4 linked regions of the Anolis sagrei genome follow. The protein of the gene in region 3 interacts with the protein of the main gene of each other region in a pairwise test. Links are inferred from orthologs where the notes say so. Each region holds a gene or a part of one and is shown on either strand. Other genes may lie near its edges.

Region 1 (7,261 bases), on a different chromosome or scaffold from region 3:
GAATGCAAGCTGTTTATGGTGATTGTGTTGATTTGAGTACTGTGCATCGTTGGGGTGACACCTTCTACTGTCAAGAAATCAATGACTGCACATTGCTTAAGTCGCATTGACCGACCGTCTGCGCAGGGTTCCATACTTTATACTTTAACAACAAAACTGTTCAATGCTAAGGCTTCCCGCCAAAATGAAACTGTAGAGGAGAGTCTACTGAACAAGCTAGTACATGCTGCATACCAGTACTGCCATCTGTTGAAGAGTTACAAAGGTGGAGGCATTACTTTTCATTCAACCCTCGTATTCCAGTTCAAAGCAGAAAATGTGGGATTTTATTCAGCTGTGTGGAAGGGGCCTAGGACACAGAATAATGGCTTCAAACTACAGGAAAGGAGATTCCATCTGAACATTAGAAAGAATTTCCTAACTGTGAGGGCTGTTCAGCAGTGGAACTCTCTGCCCCGGAGTATGGTGGAGACTCCTTCTTTGGAGGCTTTCAATCAGAGGCTGGATGGCCATCTGTCGGGTGTGCTTTGAATGCGATTTTCCTGCTTCTTGGCAAGGAGTTGGACTCGATGGCCCACGAGGTCTCTTCCAACTCAGTGATTCTGTGATTCTATGAGAAGGTAAGGAACCTAAGACAACAGGAGTAATGCTTTATATATCCTTCTCACTTGAACCCCAGTTATTACAAACTCCTTAACTTAGGTCCCATTCACACAATAGAAGCATGGCATCTTCATTCCACTTTAACTGACATGGTTCAATCCTATGGAATTCTGAGATTTGCAGTTTGTTATTTTTTTTTGTTATTATATACCTTGACACTGCTTCTTCTGGGCAGAATATTAATTCCTTTTATTGGAATGTTCTCTTGTGGGTTAGGCTTACACACACACTATATATTAATTTAAGCATGTATTTGAATAAAAAATATTTTAATACACATACATTAATTCATCAGTAGATTTTTTAGCTTACACACATGCTTACACAGCATGTATTTAAATAAAAATATTTAAATACACATACATCAATTCATCAGTATAATTTTTTTAGCTACAGGTTTTGGTTAGTTTTTATATCTTGAGTTACTTCTGTGATTTCAGTTATTGCAATTTTTTGGCTGTGATGATGAAAACACAATGACACACACATACACAATTCGATGGAAGAACTTACATGAACCTAAGATTTCACAATTTGAGTTGAGTTGAGATTTCAGAGTTTGAGTTGGAAACTTTGGAAACTGCTGAAAAAAATTATAAGCGGCTGTGACTACAAAAAGGTAAGTCATGTTTTTCTTTCTTTTCAGCTTCTGTTTTAAATACAGTATTTTGGTTGGGCTGTTCTGTTTGGATTTGTCTCATGATAGCACTTACATTTCTGAATAGGAGCACTACAACTTACAGCTTAAACCTTCTTAATTAAAAATTGCAACATTAATTATTTCCTTGAAATCTGTTTACTATCTCTCTTTGTGGTTTACTAAATTGCTCTGTGAAGATACCTCCATAAATCTAAAATAGCTGATGTAGTATGTTAATTTTTATCGCAACACATCTCTATTTCTTTAACTTATATTTTCTATCTCCTAATCCCAAGTTTCATATGCATTTTAGAACCACCTCATTATTGTATTTGGGAAAACTTACATATGTACAAATATGTATCTACAGAGATACTCACAGTAACACTTTCAGACTCTCAGCAAATGAGAGTCCAAAAGTGGCAGGTTAAAACTGTGACTGATACCAGATGAATCATAGAATCATAGAATCAAGGAGTTGAAAGAGACCTCATGGGCCATCCAGTCCAACCCCCTGCCAAGAAGCAGGAATATTGCATTCAAATCATCCCTGACAGATGGCCATCCAGCCTCTGCTTAAAAGCCTCCAAAGAAGGAGCCTCCACCACACTCCGGGGCAGAGAGTTCCACTGCTGAACGGCTCTCACAGTCAGGAAGTTCTTTCTCATGTTCAGATGGAATCTCCTCTCTTGTAGTTTGAAACTCTCTCCTGGGCACACAGAAGACTGGACAACTTGGAAGGCCCTGAAAAGACTATGTGCACTCTGGTACCATCTTGTAATTGAAACTACTTTCAAATTATTTATTGAGCTATTATTGTTTGTTGTGTGCCTTCAAATTGTTTCCAGCCTTGGCGATCCGAGGGAAAACCTAGAGCGACCCAAATCTATGAGGATATAATTTGCTCAAAGGGGATTTATCCTTGCCTTCTTCTGAAGTTACCCTCTTTGTATCTTATTTACAGTACACACAGAATTCAATAAAACAGTGTTTCTCAACCTTCCTAATGTTGTGACCCCTTAATAAAATTCCTTTTTGTTGCTACTTCATAACTGTCATTTTGCTAGTGTTATAAATATCTGATATGAAGGATGTATTTTCATTCTCTGGACCAAATTTGGTATAAGTATCCCATACGCCCAAATTTGAATACTGGTGGGATAGTGGGGTTGATTTTGTCATGTGGTAGTTGTAGTTGCTGGGATTTATAGTTCACCTACAATCAAAGAGCATTCTGAACTCTACCAATGATGGAATCGAACCAAACTTGGCACCCAGAACTCCCATGACCAACATAAAATACAGGAAGGGTTTGGTGGGCATTGACCTTGAATATTGGAGTTCTAGTTCACCTACATCTAGACAGCACTGTGGACTCAAACAATGATAGATCTGGACCAAACTTGGCATGAATACTCAATATGCCCAAATATGAACACTGGTGGGGTTTGGGGGAAAATAGATCATGGCATTTGAGAATTGTAGTTGCTGGGATTTATAGTTCATCTACAATCAAGTAGTATTCTGAACCCCACCACAATAGAATTGGGACAAACTTCCCACACAGAGCCCCCATGTCTTCTTCCAGCCTTGCACGCTCTCCCTCGCCCACACATGTGCACCATGCTGCCATGCGCTGAGCGCGCCTGTTTTCCCCTCCCCACTTGGAATTTCAGAAACAACCCTCCCCTTGGTTGAGAGGCCAGCCAAGAGCCCGGCCAATCACAGCAGAAGAGGACTTTTGGTGGGAGAATTTGCCGTGTATCCAAAAAGGAAGAGAAGGTCAAGCGGAGAGATCTTCAGCCTTCTCTGTACAAATATATGTTTGCTGATGGTCTTTGGCGATGCCTCTGAAACCCCCTCATGACCCCCCAGAGGTCCCAAACTCCAGGTTGAGAAATACTGCAATAAAATAAGGCTCCAAAAAACTCAAATCTTGGCCAGCTTTCATGGAGAAATGTGTACCTATTGGTGGCCCCCAAGTCAGTGATCGGTAGAATCCACTCCAATCCAAAACACCTCACCTATTTTAGGGACAAGTTCAGCACCTTGGGGAGTTCTTACAAAGTCAGAATAGAACCAGAATGGATTCACTGCTCCACTGAAATGGAAGCATCATCCGGACTTGGCAAAATAGACACTTTTCCTTTACCTTCACATTTGTATCACCAGATATTCCTGCAAAACTTCACACAGTTAGATCAAACATTAATGGATTATTTCATCATTCATAGCTCGCTATCTATCTCTGTCCAGGAGCTGTTCCAGCTGTGTTTTGTCTCAAACTGACTGGGGTAACTTTTTCAGAGTGAAGGAGGAGATAGTCTTATCGCGTTTTGAGTTTTATCATGCCTTCGGATTCCTATGGGAAAAGCCAACTCCAAGGAGAAGGAATCACTGTGGTAAATCCAAAGACTTGATAATCCTGTAGGGCAGGATTCATTTCTGACTCGTGTTTAATCTATTTTAAGTATGTTGTTGTTGTGTGCCTTCAAGTCATTTCCGACATATGATAAACCTAAGGCAAACCTGTCACTGGGTTTCTGGAACTGAGAGCGTATGACCCGTTCCCCGCACAATCACACTTCTATGTAATGGAGTCCATTTTGGTCAGTAATGAATCTCCTCAACGCTTCACATAGGGATGGAAGCAGGAAGATGTAGGCCTTAAGGGTGGAGAGAGTCATATTCCCACGCAATATTGAGACATGCAAAATGTATTTTCCATATCTTATTTTGAATCACGTCCTACAAAGCTCTCTGCTGTGCTCATTCAAGGCATAGCGATGGAGGTGTCTGGTCCAGCAGGGTCCTCTTTCCGCGGAGAACAGTGGCTCGCACAACGTGGGTCTCAACGTGGTGTGTCGAACCACAGCCCTGAGGTGGGTTGCACAATGGCAGCATCAATTTCCCACTATTGTTTCATGTTTCTTTCTAGAGAAGCAGGTAGCCAGGAAGGGAAAGAAGAAACTTGACAGAATGACTAGACGTGGGGCGTTGCCGCTGTTGTTGTTGGGTGCCTTCAAGTCATTTTCAACCTGTTGTGAACCTAAGGTGACCCTATCACGGTACTTTCTTGGCACAATTTGAGAATTGCCTCTGTTGTTGAGAGTGTGATTCACAAGAGGTGCATTTCATGGCCAAGTAGGTATTGAAACTCTGGTCTCCATGTCTAATGCTCTAACCAGAATTCTTTTTTTATATGGTCTAAAGCATTGGTACCCAATCTTTGGTCTGCCAGTGTTTGGGATTTCAGCTTCTATAATTCCTGAGCACTGGACAAGCTGGCCTATTGAAGCTGAAGTCCAAAACAACTGGAGGACCAAAGTTTGGAAATGACTGGCCTAAAGGATTCTTCTGTGCCAAACAACTTGTTATCCTAACAAGAGAAGAAGAGCAAAGATGTGAGAGTGTGGGCGTTTGTTGTTTGGGTTAGCAAATCTATCTTGAGACAGCATTCCAAGATAACCGCTGTTTCTGTCGCATAAGGTTGCCAAGTGAAACAAAGGGAAAGGCTTTAATGGTGGCTCAGAACATGGAATTTCAGCAGCCGGTGCTTACAGGATAAGCAACATCTGGTGAAGATCCTTCTCTTAAGCACCTACAGTTAGCTCTTCACATTTGTGGATATTTCTTTTGCCACTTTGATTGGATTTGATTAATATGGTGGATTTGATTAATATGGTCTTTAGGAATTTCTAGATCCACCAATGTAACTCTATGGCCAATTTCAAGTGGGATTTCACCACAGAGTTGTGTTGGAGGAACTAGAGCAGCGTTTCTCAATCTGGGGGTTGGGACCCCCCCCCCCGGGGGGGGTCGCAAGCGGGTGTCAGAGGGGTCACCAAAGACCATCAGAAAACAGTATTTTCTGTTGGTCAGGAGGGTTCTGTGTGGCAAGTTTGGTCCAATTCTTATCATTGCTGGAGTTCAGAATGCTCTTTGATTGTAGGTGAACTATAAATCCCAGAAACTACAACTCCCAAATGTCAAGGTCTATTTTCCACAACTCCACCAGTGTTCACATTTGGGCATATTGAGTGTCTGTGCAAAGCTTGGTCCACATACATCATTGTTTGAGTCCATAGTGCTCTCTGGATGTAGGTGAACTACAACTCCAAAACTCATACACTTCCAGTATTTTCTGTTGGTCTTGGAAGTTCTGTGAGGCAAGTTTGGTTCAGTTCCATTATTGGGGGAGTTCAGAATGCTCATTGATTGTAGGTTACCTATAAATCCCCTCAACTACAACTCCCAAATGACAAAATCAACCTCCGCCCCTAAACCCCACCAGTACTCACATTCGGGCATATCCAGTATTTGTGCCAAATTTGATCCAGCGAATGAAAATACACAGTACATCCTGCACATTATGCTATCTAAATACCCCAAAGGATAATCTTAGGTAGCTCCTCTTAGTACTTGGATGGGACACTGCCAATGAATACTAGATGCTGTAGGCTATATATCAAAGGAAGGAACTGGGAAAACCACTTCTAGGTATTCATTGCCAAATAAAACCTTATGATTTAAAGGGTTGCCATATGTCAACATATGACTTGAAGATGCATATGCACAATATTTCATCATCTTTTCCATCTCCTTGTTTTCTATTCTGCTGACTCCAGGAATTGCCCCATAATCCAAGTTGTCTTTTTTTTCAATCACAGTTATATTTTGCATATTATGTTTTAATCGTTTGTCAGTTTGAATCTTAAGAGTCTAATACTTTTTTTTTTACTTCAGAATTTAGTTTAGAAGCAGAATCCTTAACTTAAGGGGCTGTTCAGCCCAGTGGCATAGTGGGTTAAACTGCTGAGCTACTGAACTTGGTGACCAAGCAGTCGTTGATTCAAATCCGGAGAGTGGGGTGAGCTCCCGCTGTTAGCCCCAGCTTCTGCCAACCTAGTAGTTCAAAAACATGCAAATGTGAGTAGATCAATAGGTACTGCTCCGGCGGGAAGGTAACAGCGCTCCATGCAGGCAAGCCAGCCACATGACCTTGGAGGTGTCTATGGACAATACCGGCTCTTTGGCTTAGAAATGGAGATGAGCACCAACCCCCAAAGTTGGACATGACTGGACTTAATGTTTGCCTTTACCTTTACCTTACTTCTCAGACCACGGTGAAATGAGGGGATAATTCTTTCTCACTTACTTAGGGAATTCAATATGAGAAAGCTGAGCATTAGATGAGAACACTGGGAGACTAGACTTCAAATCCCTGCTCGACCATGGGAATCACACTCTCTCAGCCTCAGAGAGAGATAATCTGAACCCTCATCTGAACAAATTTTGCCAAGAAAACCCTGTGATAGATTCGCCTTAAGTCAGAAATGTCTTAAAAGCACATAATAACAAAGAATGTGCTTCTAACCAGAAGGTGGATAAGAGAGCAGATAGGAGGATGAGTCCTAGCAGCAGAACTACTGAAAAGGAAGGAAGGCACTAACTCCCCTTTGGAGAGTCTTGCAGAAAGATATTTAAGCATTGCAAATTGCATCACACTCCTGTTCTAGTAACTGAGCTGAATATTTGACAACAACGTTTTCCTCTTGCCCACGAAAACTGGAGACTTTGTACTCCCATCTTCCACCTGGAGATGATCCACAAAAACCAAGCTCTGAGACCTGCCAATTGTACCTGAAGGTCTTGTGCAAGTTCAGGAGCCCTTCCCTATGTACTGTAATGCAGCTGCTCTCCCTGTTCCTTGACGGGGATGGTGGATCATGGCATAGTCATTGCCCAGCAGCTTGGGCCGGATGTCAGGCTGTCTTTGTGCTCTGTCAGAGCCAGGTACATCTCGACAATCTGGTGCCAAGCAGGGACAGGGCAGTGATTGGCTTCTTATCAAAGGGCCCCTCCTTGTGCCTGCCAAGAAGATGAAAGTCCAGTTTTGCGTATCATAGGCCTTTTCCGCTTTCCACTTGGCAGTGCTACAGCCATTGGGAGAAACCA
Region 2 (7,880 bases), on a different chromosome or scaffold from region 3:
GTGCGAGAGAATTGGCTGTCTGCAAGGACGTTGCCCAGGGGACGACTGGATGATGTGATTTTTTTTATCATCCTTGTGGGAGGCTTCTCTCATGTCCCCGCATGAGGAGCTGGAGTTGATAGAGGGAGCTCATCCACCTCTCCCTGGATTTGAACCTGCGACCTGTTGGTCTTCAGTCCTGCCGGCACAGGGGTTTAACCCACTGCGCCACCCTTGCCTCCAACAGCCACTGGGGGCTCCAACAACAATAACAGTGAATTAAGCATCGAGATAAAATATAACAGAATACTAAGTAAGACATAATTAACTAAAACATAAATAAACATTACAACAAATACCCTCAAAACAGTTTAAAATACAGTTACAATAAAAATGGCTGGCACCGGTGTTCCTCTAAGACAGGGGTCAGGAACCTTCGGCCCTCCAGGTGTGATGGACTTCAACTCCCACAATTCCTTGAGGCTCGGCATTCGCCCCAAAGGCTTACCTTGGCCTCAAGGAATTGTGGGAGTTGAAGTCCACCACACCTGGAGGGCCGAAGGTTCCCCATGCCTGCTCTAAGATGTATTGTGGCAGCCATATAGTGCAAGTGGAGTTGGCCATAATTCCAAATTTGATGAACAATCACGCCCTGGACTCCTCACCTGCAGCTGGTAGGAGAAGGTCAGCAGGAGCTGGACGCCCACGACTTGCTCCGAGGGCCGCAGAGGGAGCTCCAGGCGTAAGGAAAGCCGGTCCATCAGGCCGTCATGGTCTGCGTCCTCCTCCCGGGCCTGAAGAATGAAGGAATGGATGGAAGCGGGCAGAGGGCCTGACTTCCCGCCATGGAAAAGGAGGAAGGAAGGACCTGCTTTCCTACCGAGATAAGTGGGAGGCGTAGGTGGTCACCCAGAAGCCGGTTGCAGGCTGCAAAGGAGCTCCACCCCACGAAGCCCCCACTGCCCTGCTCTCCAGCCAGAAGCCCTGTTAACAGCACCTCATGCTGAAAGCGGACCCTGGGCTGCTCCTCGTAGCTGCTCCGCTTCAGCCAGAATCCTGTGGGGATGGAAGGAAGGCGGGTAGGCAGCGTTTTTATCCAAAGGATATTTTATTCTTTTTCAAATTTTATTTTACTTTTCAAGAATGACTTTTCAATTGTAATGACTTTGCAAAACACAATAAAATGTATAGCAGGTGAACATTTAGAAACCAAGTTCAAGTTATTATGGTCAATGGAACTCATTGCCCAGTGAGATTAGGAAAGCCCCCACCTTAGAAATTTTCAAGAGGGATCTCAAAACCTGGCTTTTCCAACACGCTTTTGGAGAGTAGCCATATTATCATACACAGTTGCTCCCCCTCAACTGTTTCTGTCCCCAGAGTATATTCCCCACCTGTATGAAGGTCTATATTTATGACCCCGTTCCTTTACGAGTTTCTCCCCCACAAACAATCTGCTCCATCCCTATCTCATCCTGATTTTAGTATTTTTAGTATCTTTGTTTTTATCTTGCACATGAGGCCCATCATTGTTATGTTATTTTATTTTACTGTGTATGATTTTGCTTTATCGTCTTTGCACTCATATGTTGTATGTATTTTACTATGTTGTTATTGTGTTTTGGTTTTACTTTATTGTAATATGCTGTTGGGCTTGGCCTCATGTAAGCCGCCCCAAGTCCCCATTGGGGAGATGGTGGCGGGGTATTAAATAAAGTATTATTATTATTATTATTATTATGACTGGTTTGAGAAAACAGATACAATCCCAACAAAGGATTCTCCCAGATAGGAAGCAGCCAGACTTTGAAGCTGCAAGGCTATTCAATGCTAATCAAGGTGATTAATTGCAACATTCACCCTTGCCTCCAACAGACAAGAATTATTTCTCCTGCCTGGGACATTATTCCAAAGATATATAGACCTCACTTGCCTAGTTTCCAACAGACCTCACAACTTCTGAGGATGCCTGCCATAGCTGTGGGCGAAATGTGAGGAGAGAATGCCTCTGGAACATGGCCATACAGACAAGAATCAATCAGGGCCAGCTAATCACCGGTGATAGTATGATAGCTGGGTCCGGAAGCTCTGAACGTTACCAAGATGCCGCAAAGGTGGCTGTGAATAAGGGAAGAGAGGGGACGGAGTGAGAGCAGGGAGAGCGAAGAAAGGTTAGAAAGGAGGGGACACTTAGGGTAAGGGTTAGGACAAGGTTCAGGGTTTGGGTTAGGGTTACAGTTAAGGTAAGGGTTAGGGGTTATAGTTAGGGTATGGTTTAGGGTTTGAGTTTCGGTTAGCATAAGGGTTAGGGTTTCACCATTAAAGAACTCTTATATTCCTTTTATGTTATCTGTCTCTGGCCTGGCTTACATTAACTAAGTCTCTCTTGCGCAAACAGTGCTCCCGAAGGAGCGATGTGGCATCTCCGTAACACTCGGAGCTTCCGGACCCAGCTATCATACTATTACCTAATCACCTCCCAACAAAGGATTCCCCAGGAAGTAAATAGCCAGACCTTGAAGCTGCAAGGCTATTCAATGCTAAGGAAGAGTTCTTGCTCCCACCCTGGACCTTCCACAGTTATATAAACCCCACTTGCCTAGATTACATTTTTAAAATTTTTATTGTTCATTGTTTTTATGATTTTAAATATACTGTAATGTTTCTTTTTTCTGCGTTTTATCAATGTATGCATTTTATATATGGCATCAAATTGTGCCGACTCTATACGCCGCCCTGAGTCGCCTTCGAGCTAATATGGGCGGGATAGAAATAGCATAAATAAATAAATAAATAACAGACCTCACGCTGAGGATTCCTGCCATAGATGCAGGCGAAATGTCAGGAGAGAATGCTTCTAGAACATGGCCATACAGACAAGAATCAATCAGGGCCAGCTAATCACCTCCCAACAAAGGATTCCCAGGGAAGTAAATAGCCAGACCTTGAAGCTGTAAGGCTATTCAATGCTCCTACCATTGCCTCACAACCTCTGATGATTCCTGCCATAGATGCAGGCGAAATGTCAGGAGAGAATGCTTCTGGAACATGGCCATACAGACAAGAATCAATCAGGGCCAGCTAATCACCTCCCAACAAAGGATTCCCCAGGAAGCTGCAAGGCTATTCAATGCTCCTACCCTTGCCTCACAACCTCTGAGGATTCCTGCCATAGATGCAGGCGAAACCTCAGGAGAGAATGTTTCTGGAACATGGCCATACAGACAGGAATCAATCAGGGCCAGCTAATCACCCCCCAACAAAGGATTCCCAGGGAAGTAAATAGCCAGACCTTGAAGCTGCAAGGCTATTCAATGCTAATGAAGAGTTCTTGCTCCCACCCTGGACCTTCCACAGTTATATAAACCCCACTTGCCTAGATTCTAACAGACCTCACAAACTCTGAGGATTCCAGCCATAGATGCAGGCGAAACGTCAGGAGAGAATGCTTCTGGAACAGGGCCAGCTAATCACCTCCCAACAAAGGATTCCCCAGGAAGTAAATGGCCAGACCTTGAAACTGCAAGGCTATTCAATGCTCCTACCCTTGCCTCACAACCTCTGAGGAGGTTTGCCATAGATGCAGGCGAAACGTCAGGAGAGAATGCTTCTGGAACATGGCCACACAGACAAGAATCAATCAGGGCCAGCTAATCACCTCCCAACAAAGGATTCCCCGGGAAGTAAATACCCAGACCATGAAACTGCAAGGCTATTCAATGCTCCTACCCTTGCCTCACAACCTCTGAGGATGCTTGCCATAGATGCAGGCGAAACGTCAGGAGAGAATGCTTCTGGAACATGGCCACACAGACAAGAATCAATCAGGGCCAGCTAATCACCTCTCAACATAGGATTCCCAGGGAAGTAAATAGCCAGACCTTGAAACTGCAAGGCTATTCAATGCTCCTACCCTTGCCTCACAACCTCTGAGGATTCCTGCCATAGCTGCAGGCGAAATGTCAGGAGAGAATGCTTCTGGAACATGGCCACACAGACAAGAATCAATCAGGGCCAGCTAATCACCTCTCAACATAGGATTCCCAGGGAAGTAAATAGCCAGACCTTGAAACTGCAAGGCTATTCAATGCTCCTACCCTTGCCTCACAACCTCTGAGGATTCCTGCCATAGCTGCAGGCGAAATGTCAGGAGAGAATGCTTCTGGAACATGGCCATACAGACAAGAATCAATCAGGGCCAGCTAATCACCTCCCAACAAAGGATTCCCCGGGAAGTAAACAGCCAGACCTTGAAGCTGCAAGGCTATTCAATGCTAATGAAGAGTTCTTGCTCCTGCCCTTGCCTCACAACCTCACAACCTCTGAGGATGCTTGCCATAGATGCAGGCGAAACGTCAGGAGAGAATGCTACTGTAAGCCCGGAAAACTCACAACAACCCAGTGATTCTGGCCTTGAAAGCAATCCCTCCCTTGTTTTTCGTGGATCCTCACCGTGGCTCCGGAAGGCCACCAGCAGCGGCGAGAGGACGACCAGCACGCCTAGTAAGAAGAGTGCTGTTGCTGCCACCGCGCTGCGCCTCTCCTTAGCCATGGCGCGGCTCCGTCTCCACGGCAACGCGAAAGACAGGAAACGGGGTCTAGGGGGCGGGCTTTCGTGCGGCCGTCCAATCAGCAAGGCGCCTCGGAGAACTCGAGCGGAAGTCCTCCCGACAGTGAGGGTTGTCGGGAATCTTGACAACCGGAAGTCACACCCTGTATTCCGGAAACGGGGAGCAAGAGCTGGAATCTCTGTCGTCGTCGCCGTTGTTGTGGCGTTGGAGGCCCGAAAGAAAGAGCGCGACCCCCGCCCCTCCCTCCTCCGCGCCATGAAGTGGATGTTCAAGGAGGACCACGCGCTCGGTGAGGAAGGAAGGCGGGAGGGAGGGAGGGAGCCGGGCCCGGACAAACAGGAAGGAAGGAAGGCAAAGAAGGGGGCCGGGCCTTTCCTTTCCCTCAGGGATTCTTGATTCCCATCCTGCCTCCTCACTAAGTGGTTCATTATAGCAGCTACACAAAATACAACGCAGAAGGAATGACACTGTGGAAAACAACAACAACAACAATAATAATCCTCAGTTCTCGTGGGTTTTTTCTGGCTATATGGCCATGTTCTGGAGGCAATTTTTCTCCTGACGTTTCGCCTGCATCTATGGCAAGCATCCTCAGAGGTAGTGAGGTCTGTTGGAAGTAGGAAAAATGGGTTTATATATCTGTGGAATGACCAGGGTGGGACAAAGGACTCTTGTCTGCTGGAGCTAGGTGTGAATCTTTCAACTGACCACCTTGCTTGTATGCTAATCAAGGTGGTCAGTTGAAAGATTCACACCTAGCCCAACTTACAAAAGCCCTTTGTCTCACCCTGGTCATTCCACAGATGTTGTTGTTGTTGTTCATTGGTTCAGTCGTCTCCGACTCTTCGTGACCTCATGGACCAGCCCACGCCAGAGCTCCCTGTCGGCCGTCACCACCCCCAGCTCCTTCAAGGTCAGTCCAGTCACTTCAAGGATGCCATCCATCCATCTTGCCCTAGGTCGGCCCCTCTTCCTTTTGCCTTCCACTTTCCTCAGCATAACTGTCTTCTCCAGGCTTTGCTGTTTCCTCATGATGTGGCCAAAGTACTTCAACTTTGTCTCTAGTATCCTTCCCTCCAATGAGCAGTCGGGCTTTATTTCCTGGAGGATGGACTGGTTGGATCTTCTCGCAGTCCAAGGCACTCTCAGCACTTTCCTCCAACACCACAGCTCAAAAGCATCGATCTTCCTTTGCTCAGCCTTCCCTAAGGTCCAGCTCTCACATCCGTAGGTGACTACAGGGAATACCATGGCTTTGACTAGGCAGATCCACAGATATATAAACCCCTTTTTCCCAGTTCCAGCAGACCTCACCTCTGAGGATGCTTGCCATAGAGGCAGGCGAAACGTCAGGAGAAATGCCTCTAGAACATGGCCCTATAGCCCGAAAAAACCCACAAGAACTGAGTGATTCCAGCCATGAAAGCCTTCGACAATACAATAATAATAATCTTTATTTATATCCCGCCCCATCCCCCCCGGAAGGTCTTGGAACGGCTTACAACATAAATAAATACAATAAATAACAAATACAGAATAAAAGAAGGCAGATCATAACATGACAAGTCGATATAAAAGAGGAAAAGGAAGAAAACAAAACAGGCAAATTAAACAATAAGCTGTTATGTTTGTTTATTTATTTACGAGCTTGGATTATGATTTTAGTTATGAGACGCTAGTGAGTTTTTTATTGATGTTTACTGATGGTTATTGGTGTTAATTGCTTACTGTATTATTGTGTTAATTGTCTTTTAAATGGCTGTACGATGTTTGCAATTAATTTTTGCCGCTTCTTGTTGTTAACCGCTCTGAGTCGCCTAATGGTTGAGAAGAGCGGTATACAAATAAAGTAAATAAATAAATAAATAAATTTATTTACTGTATTGTCGAAGGCTTTCATGGCTGGAATCACTAGGTTCTTGTGGGTTTTTTCGGGCTGTAGAGCCATGTTCTAGAGGCATTTCTCCTGACGTTTCGCCTGCATCTATGGCAAGCATCCTCAGAGGTATTTACTGTATTTTTATACCGCCTTTCTCAGCCCGTAGGCGACTCAATGTTAGGCCAGTGGTTCTCAACCAGTGGGCCCCCAGGGGTTTTGGCCTACAACTCCCAGAAATAATAATAATAATAATAATAATAATAATAATGTATTGTCGAAGGCTTTCATGGCCGGAATCACTGGGTTGTTGTAGGTTTTTTCGGGCTATATGGCCATGGTCTAGAGGCATTCTCTCCTGACGTTTCGCCTGCATCTATGGCAAGCATCCTCAGAGGTAGTGAGGTCTGTTGGAACTAGGAAAAGGGGTTTATATATCTGTGGAATGACCAGGGTGGGACAAAGTTTATTTATTTATTTGGTAGTTTTGTATACCGGTCTTCTCACCTCCATTCGAGGGACTCGGGCCGGTTTCCAACATCAATATTACAGACCGTCATTAAAACATCATATTTCTAAATCACACTAAACCATTAAAACATTGAAACAATTAAAATGGCAAAAATACAATCATATGATTACAGTGGTCAGTCGTCATCAAAGTCATTATTCATCATCAACCATCCATATCACAGGATCATGGCTCATTCGTTGAATGCCAATCCCCAAAGCCAGGTTTTCACCTGTTTCCTGAATGTTAAGATCGAAGGGGCAGTTCTGATCTCCAGTGGAAGAGAGTTCCAGAGTCGGGGGCCACGACCGAGAAGGCCCTGTCTCCCGTTCCCACCAGCCGCGCCTATGAGGCCGGTGGGATCGAGAGCAGGGCCCCTCCAGACGATCTTAGTAATCTTGATGGCTCATAGGGGAGGATACGTTCGGACAGGTAAATTGGGCTGGAGTCATTTAGGGCTTTATAGGATAAGGCCAGCACTTTGAATTGTGCTCGGAAGCTGACTGGCAGCCAGTGGAGCTGGCGCAACAGAGGAATAGCATGCTCCCTGTGCCCCGCTCCCGTTAGTAATCTGGCAGCCGCACGTTGGACTAATTGAAGCTTCCGGGCAGTCTTCAGAGGCAACCCCACGTAGAGAGCGTTGCAGTAATCTAAACGGGATGTAACCAAAGCGTGGACCACCGTGGCCAAGTCAGACTTCCCAAGGTATGGGCGCAGCTGGCGCACGAGGTTTAATTGTGCAAAAGCTCCCCTGACCACCGCCGAAACCTGGGGCTCCAACCTCAGCAATGAGTCCAGGATCACTCCCAAGCTGCGAACCTGCGCCTTCAGGGGGTGTAACCCCGTCAAGCACAGGCTGTAACCCTATGTCCTGTTCGGCCTTTCGACTGACCAGGAGTACCTCTGTCTTGTCAGGATTAAGTTTCAATCTGTTGTCCCTCAT
Region 3 (7,494 bases):
TGCGGCTTACAAGAGGCCAAGCCAAACAACATCATGAAAAAAACAAAACAATAAATAACTCATAAAAAGCAAAAACAATACAATAATAACACAGCACATTATAAAAATATGAGGTGGGCCAAATGTAAAAGTTTTACAAGTTAAAAGCTGGGAAGTTTAAAGGGGATAGGAGGAATGTTTTGGAAAAGGTGAACGTGCAGACAGTTCTAAATCTCTCATAAAGTGCATTGAGGACATACTGCTTAGGATTCCTTATTCTGGGAAGGCACACCGGAACATCAACGTTTTCAAGCTCCTTCTAAAGACTGCCAGTGTTGGGGCCTGCCTGATGTCTTTGGGAGGGAGTTCCAGAGTCGCGGGGCCACCACCAAGAAGGCCCTGTCTCTCGTTCCCACCAATCGCGCCTGTGAAGCAGGTGGGATCGTGAGCAGGGCCTCACCAGATGAACGAAGAGATCGTGTGGGTTCGTATACAGAAATGCGATCGCGAAGGTAGATGGGTCCCAAACCGTTTAGGGCTTTGTAGGTAAGCACCCGCACCTTGAATTAGGTCCGGAAAATGAATGGCAGGCAACGGAGCTCCTTAAACAGGAGGGTTGACCTCTCCCTGTAAGGAGCACCAGTTAACAGTCTGGCAGCCGCCCGCTGCACCACCTGGAATTTCCGGGCTGTTTTCAAGGGCAGCCCCACGTAGAGTGCATTGCAGTAGTCCAATCTAGAGGTGACTAAGGCATGGACCACCCCGGCCAGGTAATGGCGCTCCATGCAGCCATGCCGACTACATGACCTTGGAGGTGTCTACGGACAACGCCGGCTCTTCGGCTTAGCCATGGAGATGAGCACCAACCCCCAGAGTCGGACACCTTTAGGGGAAAATCTTTACCTTTGCCTTAATACATAGAAATTGTAATGCTCCAATATATTCCATTTTATTCAGGGAAGAAGACCTAATAATAATAATAATAGTTGTTGTTGTTGTTGTTACAATGGCAACGCTATACGAGGCAAGGACGGGCAAGGAGAAGCGCACGAGGGGCGAGTGTGGATGTGTGACGTCACGACGCTGCCATCTCGATGCTGAGCATGCGTGCCTTCATTTGCCCTTCTCCATCATGGCGGCGGCAGAAGCTAGATCCCTTGTGTGGAGGGTAGTCTTACATGGGAGAGTGTCGTCATGACGGTGGCGTCCCGTACGTGCCCGGCTTTCCCGTGTCCCCTTTTGCCCTCTTCCATCATGGCGGTGACAGAGGCTTTTACATATAAACCCCTTGTTAAGAGTATTCTTAAATGGAGTGACGTCATGACGGTGTTGTCGCGTACGTGCGTGCCCGGCTTTGCCGTGCCTTCTCTTTGCCCTCTGTTATGGGCGGCAGCAGAAGCTTTTATAGATCCCTTGTGTTGAAGATATTCTTACAGAGAGCGAGTGACGTCATGACGGTGGCGTCGCGTGCGTGCCCGGCTTTTCCGTGCCTTCTTTTGCCCACCTCCATCATGGCGACGGCAGAAGCTTTTTTATAGATCCCTTTGTGTGGCGGGTATGTTTACATGAGGAGTCACGTCATAATGATAGCGTCGCGTGCGTGCCCGGCTTTATCGTGCCTTCCTTTGCCCTCCTCCATCATGGCGGCGGCAGAAGCTTTCCTAGATCAATGTGCTGTGCTAATTATATAATGTAATACAATATATTGTATATACATATAGTATTTATAATATTATAATGTAATACAATATAATACTAAACATATATCATAATTATATATTTTATATTACATAGAATCATAGAATCAAAGAGTTGGAAGAGACCTCATGGGCCATCCAGTCCAACCCCCTGCCAAGAAGCAGGAATATTGCATTCAAATCACCCCTGACAGATGGCCATCCAGCCTGTGTTTAAAAACCTCCAAAGAAGGTGCCTCCATCACACTCCGGGGCAGAGAGTTCCACTGCTGAACGGCTCTCACAGTCAGGAAGTTCTTCCTCATGTTCAGGCCCTGTCTCTCGTCCCCAACAATCATGCCTGCGACAATGGTGGGACAGAAAGGGCCTCCTCGGAGGATCTTAATCTTTGTGATGGTTCATAGGGGGAGATGCGTTCGGACACGTAATTTGGGCCGGGGCCATTTAGGGCTTTATAGGCCAAAGCCAGCACTTTGAATTGTGCCCGGTAGCAAACTGGCAGCCAGTGGAGCTGGCATAACATGGGAGCAGTATGCTCCCTGTGTGCCGCCCCAGTTATTAATCAGGCTCCCTCTCGTTGGACTGTTTGAAGCTTCCGAGCAGTCTTCAAAGGCAACCACATGTAATAATAATAATAATAATAAACTTTATTTGTACCCCACTACCATCTCCCCAAGGGACTCGGTGCGGCTTACATGAGGCCTAGCCCGAAGTACATCAAACAAACATCAATAACACAACATTAATAAACAATCAATAAAATACAAATCATATAAATCACATAACAAAAACAACAATCAATAATGAATGGCCGGGCCAAATGTAATAGATTAAAATTGAGAATATGCTGATGTGAACAGGTACAATGTAACTGGGATAGGATTTTTCAGAGAGAAACGAGGGAACGCAATCCATCCTAAGTCAGTAGAGTGCGTTGCAGTAGTCTATCCTAGATGTAACGAGAGCATGGACCACCATGGCCAAGTCTGACTTCCCAAGGTACAGGTGCAGCTGGCACACAAGTTTTAATTGTGCGAATGCTCCCCTGGCCACCGCTGCAACCTGGGATTCCAGGCTCAGTGATGAATCCAGGAGAACTCCCAAACTGCGAACCTGTGTCTTCAAGGAGAGTGTGACCCCTTGAAGTTTTTTGTAGCTTGAAGCTATTGTTCCACGTCCTAGTCTCCAGGGCAGCAAGAAACAAGCTTGTTCCTTCCTCCCTGTGGCTTCCTCTCACATATTTATACATGGCTATCATGTGGAAGGCAAAAGGAAGAGGGGCCGACCAAGGGCAAGATGGTTGGATGGCATCCTTGAAGTGACTGGACTGACCTTGAAGGAGCTGGGAGTGGTGACGGCTGACAGGGAGCTCTGGCGTGGGCTGGTCCATGAGGTCACGAAGAGTCGGAGACGACTGAACAAATGAACAACAACAACATCATGTATCCTCTGGAGCCCCCGGTGGTGCAGTGGGTTAAACCCCTATGTTGGCAGGACTGAAGACCAACAGGTCGCAGGTTCGAATCCAGGGAGAGGCGGATGAGCTCCCTCTCAGCTCCAGCTCCTCATGCGGGGACATGAGAGAAGCCTCCCACAAGGATGATAAAAGCATCAAATCATCCAGGTGTCGGCCTATGAACCCACCAGGACTTTGAGATCTTCCGGGGAGGCCCTGCTCTCGATCCCACCGGCTTCTCAAGCACGGTTGGCGGGTATGAGAGTTAGGGCCTTCTCGGTGGTGGCTGCTCGGCTGTGGAACGCCCTTCCTACAGACATTAGGCTGGCGCCATCTCTCATGGCATTCCGAAGAAAGTTGAAGACCTGGATGTTTGTGCAGGCGTTTGAGTAATTTAGTGCAATCTGGTAATGGAACATAGGAATGGAACAATGGACGACGAACCTGGACTACGCTTGGATGATGAGAAGATTGGGTACGGTTGTTTTTTGTAATAATTGTGCATTGTAATTGCTTATTGATAATTTATGGATAATGTGTTGTTATATGTTGCATGGAACCACTGCTGTCTCTACTGTTTTTACTGTTTGTGAACCGCTGTGAGTCGCCTTCGGGCTTGAGATACAGCGGTATATATGCAAAGTAAATAATAATAAATAATAATAATAATAATAATAACGTCCTTGCAGACAGCCAATTCTCTCACAGCAGAAGTGACTTGCAGTTTCTCAAGTCGCTCCTGACACGACAAAAAAAAGTCTCCATTCAGCCTTCTCTTCTTCAGGCTAAACATGCCCAGCTCTTCAAGCCGCTCCTCATAGGGCTTCTCCAGACCCCTGATCATTTTAGTCGCCCTCCTCTGAACACATTCCAGCTTGTCAATCTCTCTCTTCAGTTGTGGTGCCCAGAATTGGACAGGTGTGGACTAACCATCAACTATCTTTTAAAGTGTGGTTTGACTTCTGCCCACACTTTTTGCAATTCCTCTCTTTCTTTCTTTTTTTTTATAGATTTCTTGTTGAGGGTATTTTTTAAGGGAGTGTGTGACGTCATGACGTTGCGTGCGTGCGTGCGTGCCCGGCTTTGCCGTGCCTTCTTTTTGCCCTCCTCCATCATGGCGGCGGCAGAGGCTTTCATTTAGGGGCCCCCTGGCTGAGGGAGGAAGAGAGAAGCGCCGCGCGCGCAGGCAGACACGCGCGCCACCACCAAACCCGAAAGGCGGCCAACGGCTCCAGCACGGGAAGCGCCGCGCGCCCTCCTTTCGCCGTTTTGACCTCCTCGCTTGCCGTCATTCAGGTAAACAGAAGGCGCACACCCCCCAAAGGGATACCAGATACAATCCTTAGTAATCTTGATCAAATCCTATCCCTTTATGAATATATTCTCTGCTGAAAGTTCTATAGAATATTAATGTGTAATGCAGTATTAATATTGTAGTCTTTCAGGTTGTTTGGTTTGTTTGCAATGACCTCAAATATATACAATAGTGTAGAAGAGGCATGGGCGAACTTGGGCCCTCCAGGTGTTTTGGACTCCAACTCCCACCATTCCTAACAGCCTCAGGCCCTTTCAGGGCCTGAGGCTGTTAGGAATGGTGGGAATTGGAGTCCAAAACACCTGGAGGGCCCAAGTTCGCCCATGCCTCTTCTATAAGATACAATTATTAGTCTTCCAAATGAAACACCATTATAAGTATATTGTCTCCAGAAAGTCCTTCAAATATTAATGTGCTCGCATTGTTATGAAATTGTTTATATCCCGCTTTTGTCTTTCGATTGAGATGCAAAGTGTCTTAAACACGAGTCATCATGTATTTCTAATTCTGCAGACCTGCTTTTCCAGTCTTCTGCTGGGAGTGGTTGTTTTTTGGGGGGCTCATTCTTTCTCCATCTATCATGGAACTGTGGCTAATGTGTACATATGCATTTATTTTATTTATTTACAATATTTCTACCCCGCCTTTCTCGAACCCAAAGGTGACTCAAGGCGGCTTTACAACATAAGCAGCTATTCGATGCCATTAAAACAATGTAAAAATTACAATAAACATTATAATATAATGATAATAAAACTTTATTTATACCCCCCAAACCCAAAGGTGACTCAAGGCGGCTTTACAACACAGGCAGCTTTTCGATGCCATTAAAACAATGTAAAAATTACAATAAATATTGTAATATAATGATAATAAAACTTTATTTATACCCCCCAAACCCAAAGGTGACTCAAGGCGGCTTTACAACACAGATAGCTATTTGATGCCATTAAAACAATGTTAAAATTACAATAAACATTATAATATAATGATAATATTTTATTTATACTCCGTCACCATCTCCCCAAGGGGACTCGGGGCAGCTTACATGAGGCCAAGCCCAACAATTACATCAAAGCAAATATACAACATAAAATAATTCATCCATAAAATAAAATGAAAATATTTTCTCCACCTATCATGGAAGTGTGGCTAATATGTATTTATTTCTTTTATTTATTTACGATATTTCTACCCCGCCTTTCTCAAACCTGAAGATGACTCAAGGCGGCTTTACAACATAGGCAGCCATTTGATGCCATTAAAACAATGTAAAAATTACAATAAACAGTATAATATAATGTATTTATCGTGTCAGGGACAGACCAAACAGTTGCATTACATTTTTTAGCAAACAGACAAACAAAACACAAAGTTTGCAAGTTTGGTAGTTGATTAAATGTCTTTTGACCAGTAGCTCGCCACTTGGAGTGCCTCTGGTGTTATAATATAAAAGTATAATAATAATAATACTTTATTTATACCCCATCACCATCTCCCCAAGGGGACTCGGGGCGCCTTAAATGAGGCCAAGCCCAACAATTACATCCAAGCAAATATACAACATAAAATAATGCATCAATAAAATAAAATGAAAATATTTTCTATCATGGAACTGTGGCTAATAATATGTATGTAATTCTTTTTTTTATTTACGATATTTCTACTTTCTCGAACCCGAAGGTGAATCAAGGCGGCTTTACAACACAGATAGCTATTTGATGCCATTAAAACAATGTTAAAATTACAATAAACATAATAATATAATGATGATAAAACTTTATTTATACCCCGCCACCATTTCCCCAAGGGGACTCGGGGCGGCTTACATGAGGCCAAGCCCAATCATTACATCAAAGCAAATATACAACATAAAATAATAAATGAATAAGATAAAATGAAAATAATGAAAAGCAATACAAAATAAACACACAATACAATATAAAATCACAATTTCAAACAGAATTGTAAAATACATACATTAAAACATTTAAAATCATATCAAACACTATTAGCCTCATTGTCCAAAAAATATAGTCTAAACCATTCCAGTGTTTGATTTCACATAGTTCCATGTTTATCTATTGCACTAGGTTCCGACAGGCTTTTTCAAAAAGCCATGTTTTCACTTTTCTGTGGAAGGTCAGGAGGGAAGGGGCTGATCTAATATCCCTAATATCCACAGCCTGTATGGGAGGACAGTTTCAGTTCAGTTCAGATAGTTTCTAAGAAGGACCAATTAACCCTTCAACCAAAAAAAAAGTTGCACGGGCTGAAGAGCCTTTCTTTGTCCACTATGGCGCCAGTGATTCCTAGCTTGGTACAAATGTGGTCACAGGCTTCGTGCGTGTGTGTGTGTGTGTAGCATGGCTGGGATCATAGTACGGCCCTGCTTTAAAAAGTCAAACTAACAAGTTGAAAGAGTAGGTTGTTTGTAGAGCCTTTCCTCACAATGGGGTGTGATTTGACTCTTCTTTCCATTTTTTGATAACTGGCTGCTGTGTGGTTGTTTGAAATTGCGGGAGGAACAGATTCCTCTTCCTCCTGCTGACTGGACAAGGGATTAGCAATATAGACAGAGGCATGTCCTGTCATCTGACAAATGTTTTCTTTTTAGAGAATTATTGCTGGTGGGGGCTGGACTGCCTGTGCTTGTGCTTGCATGCATTTGGGCTGCCATTTCTTCCCTCTAGTACTCCCCCCCCCCACACTCCCCACAATTGCATTTATTCAACAGTTGGTAAGAATGGCGTTCTTTGCATGTACTTGAGGGAGAGAAGATAGATGCATGATACAGCATGCCCTTTCTTCTTTTTCAAACTTGCTCTTGCAAGAGGAGGCCTGTACAGTTGTTTCCAAATCCCTGGTCTCGTTGGAAAGGCGAATAAAAGCTCTGCAGAATTGCACTGACTATTTACTAAAATTGAATTCTTAGCATTAGATCACTAGAAGCGTTAGATATTGTTACTACTTGCTGGGTCGTTGATTGACTGCAGACTGTAAGGGTGCATTGACACCAGTGGTTCTCAACCTGTGGGTCTCCAGAT
Region 4 (8,189 bases), on a different chromosome or scaffold from region 3:
CCCCTCCCCCACAGCCCCCTTCCCCCACAAAAGCCTGACTTTGTCCCATTGTCCTCTGGCACCCGGGCCTCTGTGGAGCCATTGTTGGGCACATAAAGGGCCTGTGTCTGTCTTGCTCCGGGCGAGGCTCTGCCAGCCAAGCCTTCGGGGATAAAGGATGCCATAGAGAGAGGAGCACAAGGCCCCCCTTTTTGGGATGGGTGGGGCCGCACCTGGAGGGGAAGATCCACCCCAAAGGGACAACTCCTTTGCCTGGAAATCATAGAATCATAGAGTTGGAAGAGACCTAATGGGCCATCCAGTCCAACCCCCTGCCAAGAAGCAGGAATATTGCATTCAAAGCACCCACGACAGATGGCTATCCAGCCTCTATTTAAAAGCTTCCAAAGAAGGAGCCTCTACCACACTCTGGGGCAGAGAGTTCCACTGCTGAACAGCTCTCACAGTCAGGAAGTTTTTCCTAATGTCCAGATGGAATCTCCTTTCTTGTAGTTGCTCCCTCCTCCCTCTGACTTCTTCTCACATACTTATACATGGCTATCATGTCTCCTCTCAACCTTCTCTTCTTCAGGCTAAACATGCCCAGCTCTTTAAGTCGCTCCTCATAGGGCTTGTGCTCCAGACCCTTGATCATTTTAGTCATCCTCCTTTGGACACATTCCAGCTTGTCAACATCTCTCTTCAATTGTGGTGCCCAGACACCACATGGGCCATCTAATCCAAATGTCATAGAATCATAGAGTTGGAAGAGACGACATGGGCCATCTAGTCCAATCCAGAATGGAAAAGCACAATCAAAGCAGTTTCAACAGATGGCCATCCAGTTTCTGTTTAAAAGTTTCCAAGGTAGGATATTCCACCAGACTCTTAGGCAGAGAGTTCCACTGCTGAACAGCTCTTACAGTCAGGAAGTTCTTCCTAATGTCCAGGTGGAATCTCCGCTTCTGCAATTTGGACCAATTTCTCCAAGTCCTAGTTTCCATGGCAGCAGGACACAAGCCTGCTCTCTCTTCATTATGACATTCTTTCACATATTTATACATGGCTCTCATATCTCCTATTAGTCTTCTCTTCTGAGGCTAAACATACCTAACTCTTTGACCCTTTCAGTCGCTCTCCTCTGGACTCCTTCCAGCTGTCAGTATCTCTTTTAAACTGTGGTTCCCAGAATTGGACACAGTGTGATTCCAGGTAAAGAGGTCTAACTAAAGCAGACCAGACATGGGCAAACTTCGGCACTCCAGGTGTTTTGGACTTCAACTCCTAAAATTCCTAACAGCCGATAGGCGGTGATGTATATCTACATTTATACTTGGCTTCTATGGAAATGAGTAAACAGATATGGGACTTTGGGAATTTTTATGTCTTTGAAAAAAGCTCAGAAGATAAGAAGGTCATTCTGTGCTTGGCTAGGTTTGCTTTACCAGCCAGAGAAAATAATTCACGACAATGGAAGGGAGCAACTTTGACAACTCAGCACACAGGCTTTAAAAATGGGGATATCTGTTTTGAAAATATAGGGAGGTGTAAAATCTCATGAGGCCCCTTCTGCACTATTATATAATCCAGATTGGATTATAAGAGTCTATATAGCCATATAATCCAGTTCAAAGCAGATAGGTTGCTGTGAGTTTTCTGAGTTGTATGGCCATGTTCCAGAAGCATTCTGTGTGTTATTGTTTATATGTAAGTTATATTAATTGTACTGTTTTATTTGCTTGCTTTATTTTATTTTATTTTATTTGTCGTGTCAGGGAAACCAGTCAATTATATTACATTTCTAACAGAACAAAGCAAACAAACAGACAAAATACAAAATGTGTGATTTGGTAATTGATTAAATGTCCTTTGACCAGTATCTGGCCACTTGGAGTGCTTCTGGTGTTGCTGCAAGAAGGTCCTCCATTGTGCATGTGGCAGGGCTCGGGTTGCATTGCAGCAGGTGGTCAGTGGTTTGCTCTTCTCCATACTTGCATGTCGAGGATTCCACTTTGTAGCCCCATTTCTGAAGGTTGGCTCTGCATCTCATGGTGCCAGAGCTCAGTCTGTTCAGTGCCTTCCAAGTCGCCCAGTCCTCTGTGTGCCCAGGGGGAGTCTCTCATCTGGTATCAGCCATTGGTTGAGGTTCTGGGTTTGAGCCTGCCACTTTTGGACTCTCGCTTGCTGAGGTGTTCTAGTGAGTGTCTCTGTAGATCTTAGAAAACTAGTTCTAGATTTAAGTCGTTGACGTGTTGGTTGATACCCAAACAGGGGATGAGCTGGAGATGTCTCTGCTTTGGTCCTTTCAGTATTGGCTGCTACTTCCCGGCGGATGTCAGGTGGCGCAATACCGGCTAAGCAGTGTAATTTCTCCAGTGGTGTAGGGCGCAGACACCCCGTGATAATGCGGCATGCCTCATTAAGAGCCACATCCACTGTTTTAGGGTGGTGAGATGTGTTCCACACTGGGCATGCATACTCAGCAGCAGAGTAGCACAGCGCAAGGGTAGATGTCTTCACTTGTATCTGGTTGTGATCCCCAGGTTGTGCCAGTCAGCTTTTGTATGATATTGTTTCTAGCACCCACTTTTTGCTTGATGTTCAGGCAGTGCTTCTTGTAGGTAAGAGCATGGTCCAGAGTGACTCCCAGGTATTTGGGTGTGCTGCAATGCTCCAGTGGGGTTCCTCCCCAGGTGATCTTCAGAGCTCGGGATGCTTCTCTGTTCTTGAGATGAAAGGCACATGTTGTGTTTTAGATGGGTTGGGGATCAGCTGGTTTTCCCTATAATAGGCAGTAAGAGCACCTACAGCACCTTTGCTTGCTGTTTTGTTTTTACTGATGTGTTGTTGGGCTTGGCCTCATGTAAGCCACCCCAAGTCCCCTTGGGGAGATGGTGGCGGGGTATAAATAAAGTTTTATTTATTTATTATTATTATTATTATTATTATTATTCTGACCTGACATTTATGGGAGGCATCATTAGAGGTTATGAGGTCTGTTGGAAACTGTCTGTCTGAGGTCCAACAGACCTCACAACTTCTGAGGATCCCTGCCACAGATGCAGGTGAAATGTCAGGAGAGAATGCTTCTGGAACATGGCCATACAGCCCAGAAAACTCACAACAACCCAATGATTCCAGCCATGAAAGCCTTCGACAATTCAAAGCAGATAATCTGGATTTTATATGGCAGTGTAGAAGGAGGCCTCAAATACACAATTTGAAATTGAAAGGTCAGACCAGTCGCCTCCTCTCCTTCTCCCTCCAAGTGAGACTTAAGCAGCTCCCCCCCGCCCCCCCGGCCTTTCTCTCCTCCTTGCTCCCTCCTTCTCTCCTTCTTGGGTCATTTATTCTGGCCTCACTCCTGGCCTCAGCCTCATAAACAACGCCACTCCACCCCTCCATTAGCCTGGCCTCGCTGTCCTCTTGGGTGGACAATCCCTGGCATTGTCTGCAAGGGAGGCTCTGAGAAGGGATGGACTCCAATGGTGCCTCCCCACCCCCACCTCAAAAAAAGAAGTTTCTTCTCTCACTGGACAAGACTTCAAGTTTTGCGCCTGGTTTTTACATTCCAAAACAAAATGTTTTGGTGTTTTTTTAGCAACCCTTTCATACTGTATTTTGTTTTGCTCTGATGCAGAATGAGATTGCACTAGATCAGGCACAGGCGCTCCAGGTGTTTTGGACTTCAACTCCCATCATTCATAACAGCATCAGGCCCCTTCCTTTTCCCCCTCAGCCACCTAAGCCTGCACTTGATGGACTTTTGGGGGTCTTTTCTATGATAAGCGTTGGATGTTTGGATTTGTTTGTTTCTTCATGTCAGGAGTGACTTGGGAAACTGCAAGTTGCTTCTGGTGTGAGAGAACTGGCGGTCTGTGAGGACGTTGCCCAGGGGACGCCTGGATATTTTGATGTTTTATCATCCTTGTAGGAGGCTTCTCTCATGTCCCCATATGGGAAGCTGGAGCTGATAGAGGGAGCTCATCCGCCTCTCCCCGGATTCGAACCTGCGGCCTGTCGGTCTTCAGCCCTGCCGGCACAGGGGTTTAACCTACTGCGCCACAGGAGGCTCCTATTCCAGCCATGAAAGCCTTCGACAATACATTGGGGTTTGTTTGTTTTTTCGTGTCAGGAGTGACTTGAGAAACTGCAAGTCACTTCTGGTGTGAGAGAACTGGCGGTCTGCAAGGACATTGCCCAGGGGATGTTTGATGTTCGACCATCCTTGTAGGAGGCTTTTCTCATGTCCCCATATGGGGAGCTGGAGCTGACAGAGGGAGCTCAACCCACTCTCTCTGGATTCGAACCAGTCCTGCAGGCAGAAGGGTTTAACCCATTGCATCACTGAGTTATATGAGTTGGGATTTTGGCCTGCATCAATAGGAGCATAGTGTCTAGGTCCAGGGAAGTAATGCTACCCCTTTATTCCGCCTTGGTTAGACCACACCTGGAATATTGTGTCCAATTCTGGGCACCACAACTCAAGAGAGATATTGACAAGCTGGAATGTGTCCAGAGGAGGGCGACTAAAATGATCAAGGGTCTGGAGAACAAGCCCTATGAGGAGCGGCTTAAGGAGCTGGGCATGTTTAGCCTGAAGAAGAGAAGGCTGAGAAGAGATATGATAGCCATGTATAAATATGTGAGAGGAAGCCACAGGGAGGAGGGAGCAAGCTTGTTTTCTGCTTCCTTGGAGACTAGGACACAATGGAACAATGGCTTCAAACTACAAGAGAGGAGATTCCATCTGAACATGAGGAAGAACTTCCTGGCTGTGAGAGCCGTTCAGCAGTGGAACTCTCTGCCCCGGAGTGTGGTGGAGGCTCCTTTTTTGGAAGCTTCTAAACAGAGGCTGGATGGCCATCTGTCAGGGGTGATTTGAATGCAATATTCCTGCTTCTTGGCAGGGGGTTGGACTGGATGGCCCATGAGGTCTCTTCCAACTCTGATTCTATGAGTCTACATTGCCATATAATCCAGTTCAGTGTGGATTTTATACAGCTGTGTGGAAGGGGCGAGAGAGAGGGAGGACAAACTTAACGAGAGCCCACTTGCTCTGATGCGCGCGCATCTTCGCGTTCCCGCAATTGGGGAGGGGGCGTGTTTGGGGGCGTGGCGAGGGCGCTGGGGGCGGTCCCTTTAAGGGGCTTGGCTGCCACCCCAGGGCCCTTTTCTTGGCCGTGGGACTGCGGAGCCCAGGCAGTCAGCACAGCAGCCAGGCAGATTGACAGGCAGGACTTTCTGAGGAGAGGAAGGCGGCAAGGGATTCACGCCCCAGAAGAGATGGGTGAGTTTTCCGACCCCTGCAACGCCCCCCACCCTGAAAGGAGGGCTGACAGCCAGAGCTTTTGGAAGATTGAGCCTCTCAGAACAGAAGCTGCTTGCAGGCATGGGCAAACTTCAGTTTAAGCGGCTGAGGGGGAAAAGGAAGGGGACCGAGGCTGTTGGGAATGATGGGAGTTGGAATCCAAAATACCTGGAGGGCCCAAGTTGGCTCAAGCCTGCTCTAGAGGTTTATGGCTGCTTCTGTCAATTACCTTATTATTATTATTATTATTATTATTATTATTATTATTATTTATATTCTGCTCTATCTCCCTAAAGGGACTCAGGGCAGATTCCAAACATAAAAGGCAAACATTCAATGCATTTGAACATTAGGAAAAACTTCCTGACTGTGAGAGCCATTCAGCAGTGGAACTCTCTGCCGTGGAGTGTGGTGGAGGCTCCTTCTTTGAAACGTTTTAAACAGAGGCTGGATGGTCATCTGTCTGGGATGCTTTGAATGCGATTTCCCAGTTACTTGGCAGAATGGGGTTGGACTGGATGGCCCATGAGGTCTCTTCCAATTCTCGGATTCAATTATTCTACTAGCCGTCCCCTGCCACGTGTTGCTGTGGCCCACATGGGGATTCTGTGTGCCCAATTCTATCGTTGCTGGGGTTCAGAATGCTCTGTGATTGTAGGTGAACTATAAGTCCCAGCAACTACAACTCCCACGGGCATCACCACCAGGAAACACAGTATTTTTTTTTTTTTGGTATTGGGGGTTCTGTGTGGGAAGTTTGGACCAATTCTATCATTGGTGGGGTTCAGAATGCTCTCTGATTGTAGGTGAACTATAAGTCCCAGCAACTACAACTCCCAAATGTGAAGATTCTATTTTCCCCAAACTCCACCAGTGTTCACATTTGGGCATATTGAGTATTCTTGTAGCGTTTGGTCCAGATCCATCATTGTTTGAGTTCACAGTGATCTCTGGATGTAGGTGAACTACAATTCCAAAACCAAAGGACACTGCCCACCAAACCCTTCTAGTGTATTCTGTTGGTCACAGGAGTCCTGTGTACCACGTTTGGTTCAATTCCATCACTGGTGGAGTTCAGAATGCTCTTTGATTGTAAGTAAACTATAAATCCCAGCAACTACAAAATGACAAAATCAGATTTTTGAGTGATGGTCACTACTTGGGTTAATAGGTGTCTTGTGTCCAAATTTGGTGTCAATTCATCCAGTGGTTTTTGAGTTCTGTTAATCCCACAAACGAACTTTACATTTTTATTTATATAGATGAAATACCTTCTGAATTCCAAGGCCCCAAGTTTGCCCATGCCTACTCTATCCTCTACAAACCCCAGGATTGAATAGCTGTAATCCATAGCAGTCAAAGAACTGTGGTTGGGCAGAAGGAAAATAGACACAAGCCAAACGTGTGGGTTTAGCCCTGTTTGCATTATTATTTCCCTCTCTTCTATGTTTTGCTTAAGAGCCAAGAAAGAGCAAGAAAAGGGAGAGGAATGCCGATCTTCTCATGCGCTAGGCATGCACGGCCCACCCATCCAAACACATCCTTCATTCAAATATCAACAATACATCAGGGAAGGCTTCTGGACATTAGGAAGAACTTCCTGACTGTGAGAGCTGTTCAGCCGTGGAACTCTCTGCCCCAGAGTGTGGTGGAGGCTCCTTCTTTGGAGGCTTTTAAACAGAGGCTGGATTTCATAGAACCACAGAATTGCAAAATAATAATAATAATAATAATAATAATAATAATAATAATCTTTATACCCCGCCACCATATCCCCCAACGTGGACTTGGGGCGGCTTACATTATGCCAAGCCCAAACAATAAATTACCACAAGAGACCACATGGGTCCTCTAGTCCAATCCAGAACTTCTTCAGGCTAAATATGCCCAGCTCTTTAAGCTGCTCCTCATAGGGCTTGTTCTCCAGACCCTTGATCATTTTAGTCACCCTTCTCTGGACACATTCCAGCTTGTCAATATCTCTCTTCAGTTGTTGTGCCCAGAGACCACATGGGCCAACTAGTCCAAATGTCATAGAATTGGAAGAGACCACATGGGCCATCTAGTTCAATCCAGAATGGAACTGCACAATCAAAGCAGCTCCAACAGATGGCCATCCCATCTCTGTTTAAAAGTTTCCAAGGAAGGATCTTCCACCAGACTCTGCTGAACAGCTCTCACAATCAGGAAGTTCTTCCTAATGTTCAGATGAAATCTTCTCTCTTGTAATTTGAACCCATGGCTCTGAGTCCTAGTTTCCAGAGTAGCAGAACACAGAGCTGTTGAGCAGTGGAACTCTCTGCCCCAGAGTGTAGTGGAGGCTCCTTCTTTGGAAGCTTTTAAACAGAGGCTGGATGGCCATCTGTCGGGGATGCTTTGAATGAAAATGTCCTGCTTCTTGGCAGAATGGGGTTGGTCTGGATCTTCCATGAGGTCTCTTCCAACTCTAGGATTCTATGATTCTAAGACTGTGGATTTCTTTCTGGGACATGTGAACCTGGCAATGAGCAGCCCACACTGAAATGATAGCAGCTCTGTGGGGCAAAAGAAGGGGTGCTTCTGCTACTTAATTCCATCTCTCCTGGAACCAGTGCAAAGATGTAGGAGCCTCTTGCAAAGACCCCTCCTCAGCAGCGGAAGAGAGGTCCAGAGCCCAGGAACAACTCCTGTTTCCTTGGCAACCAGAGGCAGGAGCATCATCGGGAAGAGAGGAGGCTCAGTGGGCTGGAGGGGTTGCTGGTGGGTAGAAGGTAGGGAGGGTGGCATTGGGTGGCATAGGGGATCCTGCCTGGCACACAGGTGGGAGCACATGTGGAATCCCAGCTGGCAGGTCCCTCTGCTTTGTAAGAAAGCGGTTTTCCTGGCTTTACGGTTCCAGCATAGTCTTCAGACTATCTCC

What was found.
Region 1: the proteins of BCL2L13 (region 3) and lysoplasmalogenase TMEM86B-like interact in binary tests that used the Homo sapiens proteins (3 or more experiments, as listed by UniProt). The two-hybrid records come from large-scale screens. The link is inferred for Anolis sagrei from reciprocal best matches to the Homo sapiens genes BCL2L13 and TMEM86B.
Region 2: the proteins of BCL2L13 (region 3) and GABARAPL2 interact in binary tests that used the Homo sapiens proteins (3 or more experiments, as listed by UniProt). The two-hybrid records come from large-scale screens. The link is inferred for Anolis sagrei from reciprocal best matches to the Homo sapiens genes BCL2L13 and GABARAPL2.
Region 4: the proteins of BCL2L13 (region 3) and PLP1 interact in binary tests that used the Homo sapiens proteins (3 or more experiments, as listed by UniProt). The two-hybrid records come from large-scale screens. The link is inferred for Anolis sagrei from reciprocal best matches to the Homo sapiens genes BCL2L13 and PLP1.

Annotation. Positions count from the first base shown.
Region 1 is NC_090026.1:20,933,525-20,940,785, forward strand, and holds the start of lysoplasmalogenase TMEM86B-like, read left to right. Parts: upstream 1-4,077; 5' UTR 4,078-4,089; coding exon 4,090-4,185; intron 4,186-6,977; exon of another isoform or gene 6,978-7,260; coding exon of another isoform or gene 7,261-7,261. UniProt on the Homo sapiens protein: Catalyzes the hydrolysis of the vinyl ether bond of choline or ethanolamine lysoplasmalogens, forming fatty aldehyde and glycerophosphocholine or glycerophosphoethanolamine, respectively and is specific for the sn-2-deacylated (lyso) form of plasmalogen.
Region 2 is NC_090028.1:29,634,102-29,641,981, reverse strand, and holds the start of GABARAPL2 (gamma-aminobutyric acid receptor-associated protein-like 2), read left to right. Parts: upstream 1-4,670; 5' UTR 4,671-4,805; coding exon 4,806-4,839; intron 4,840-7,880. Other genes in the region: TMEM231 (transmembrane protein 231), read right to left, coding at 645-773, 860-1,035, 4,432-4,531. UniProt on the Homo sapiens protein: Ubiquitin-like modifier involved in intra-Golgi traffic. Modulates intra-Golgi transport through coupling between NSF activity and SNAREs activation. It first stimulates the ATPase activity of NSF which in turn stimulates the association with GOSR1.
Region 3 is NC_090025.1:180,138,688-180,146,181, forward strand, and holds the start of BCL2L13 (bcl-2-like protein 13), read left to right. Parts: upstream 1-4,208; 5' UTR 4,209-4,428; intron 4,429-7,494. UniProt on the Homo sapiens protein: May promote the activation of caspase-3 and apoptosis.
Region 4 is NC_090030.1:20,109,784-20,117,972, reverse strand, and holds the start of PLP1 (myelin proteolipid protein), read left to right. Parts: upstream 1-5,138; 5' UTR 5,139-5,265; coding exon 5,266-5,269; intron 5,270-8,189.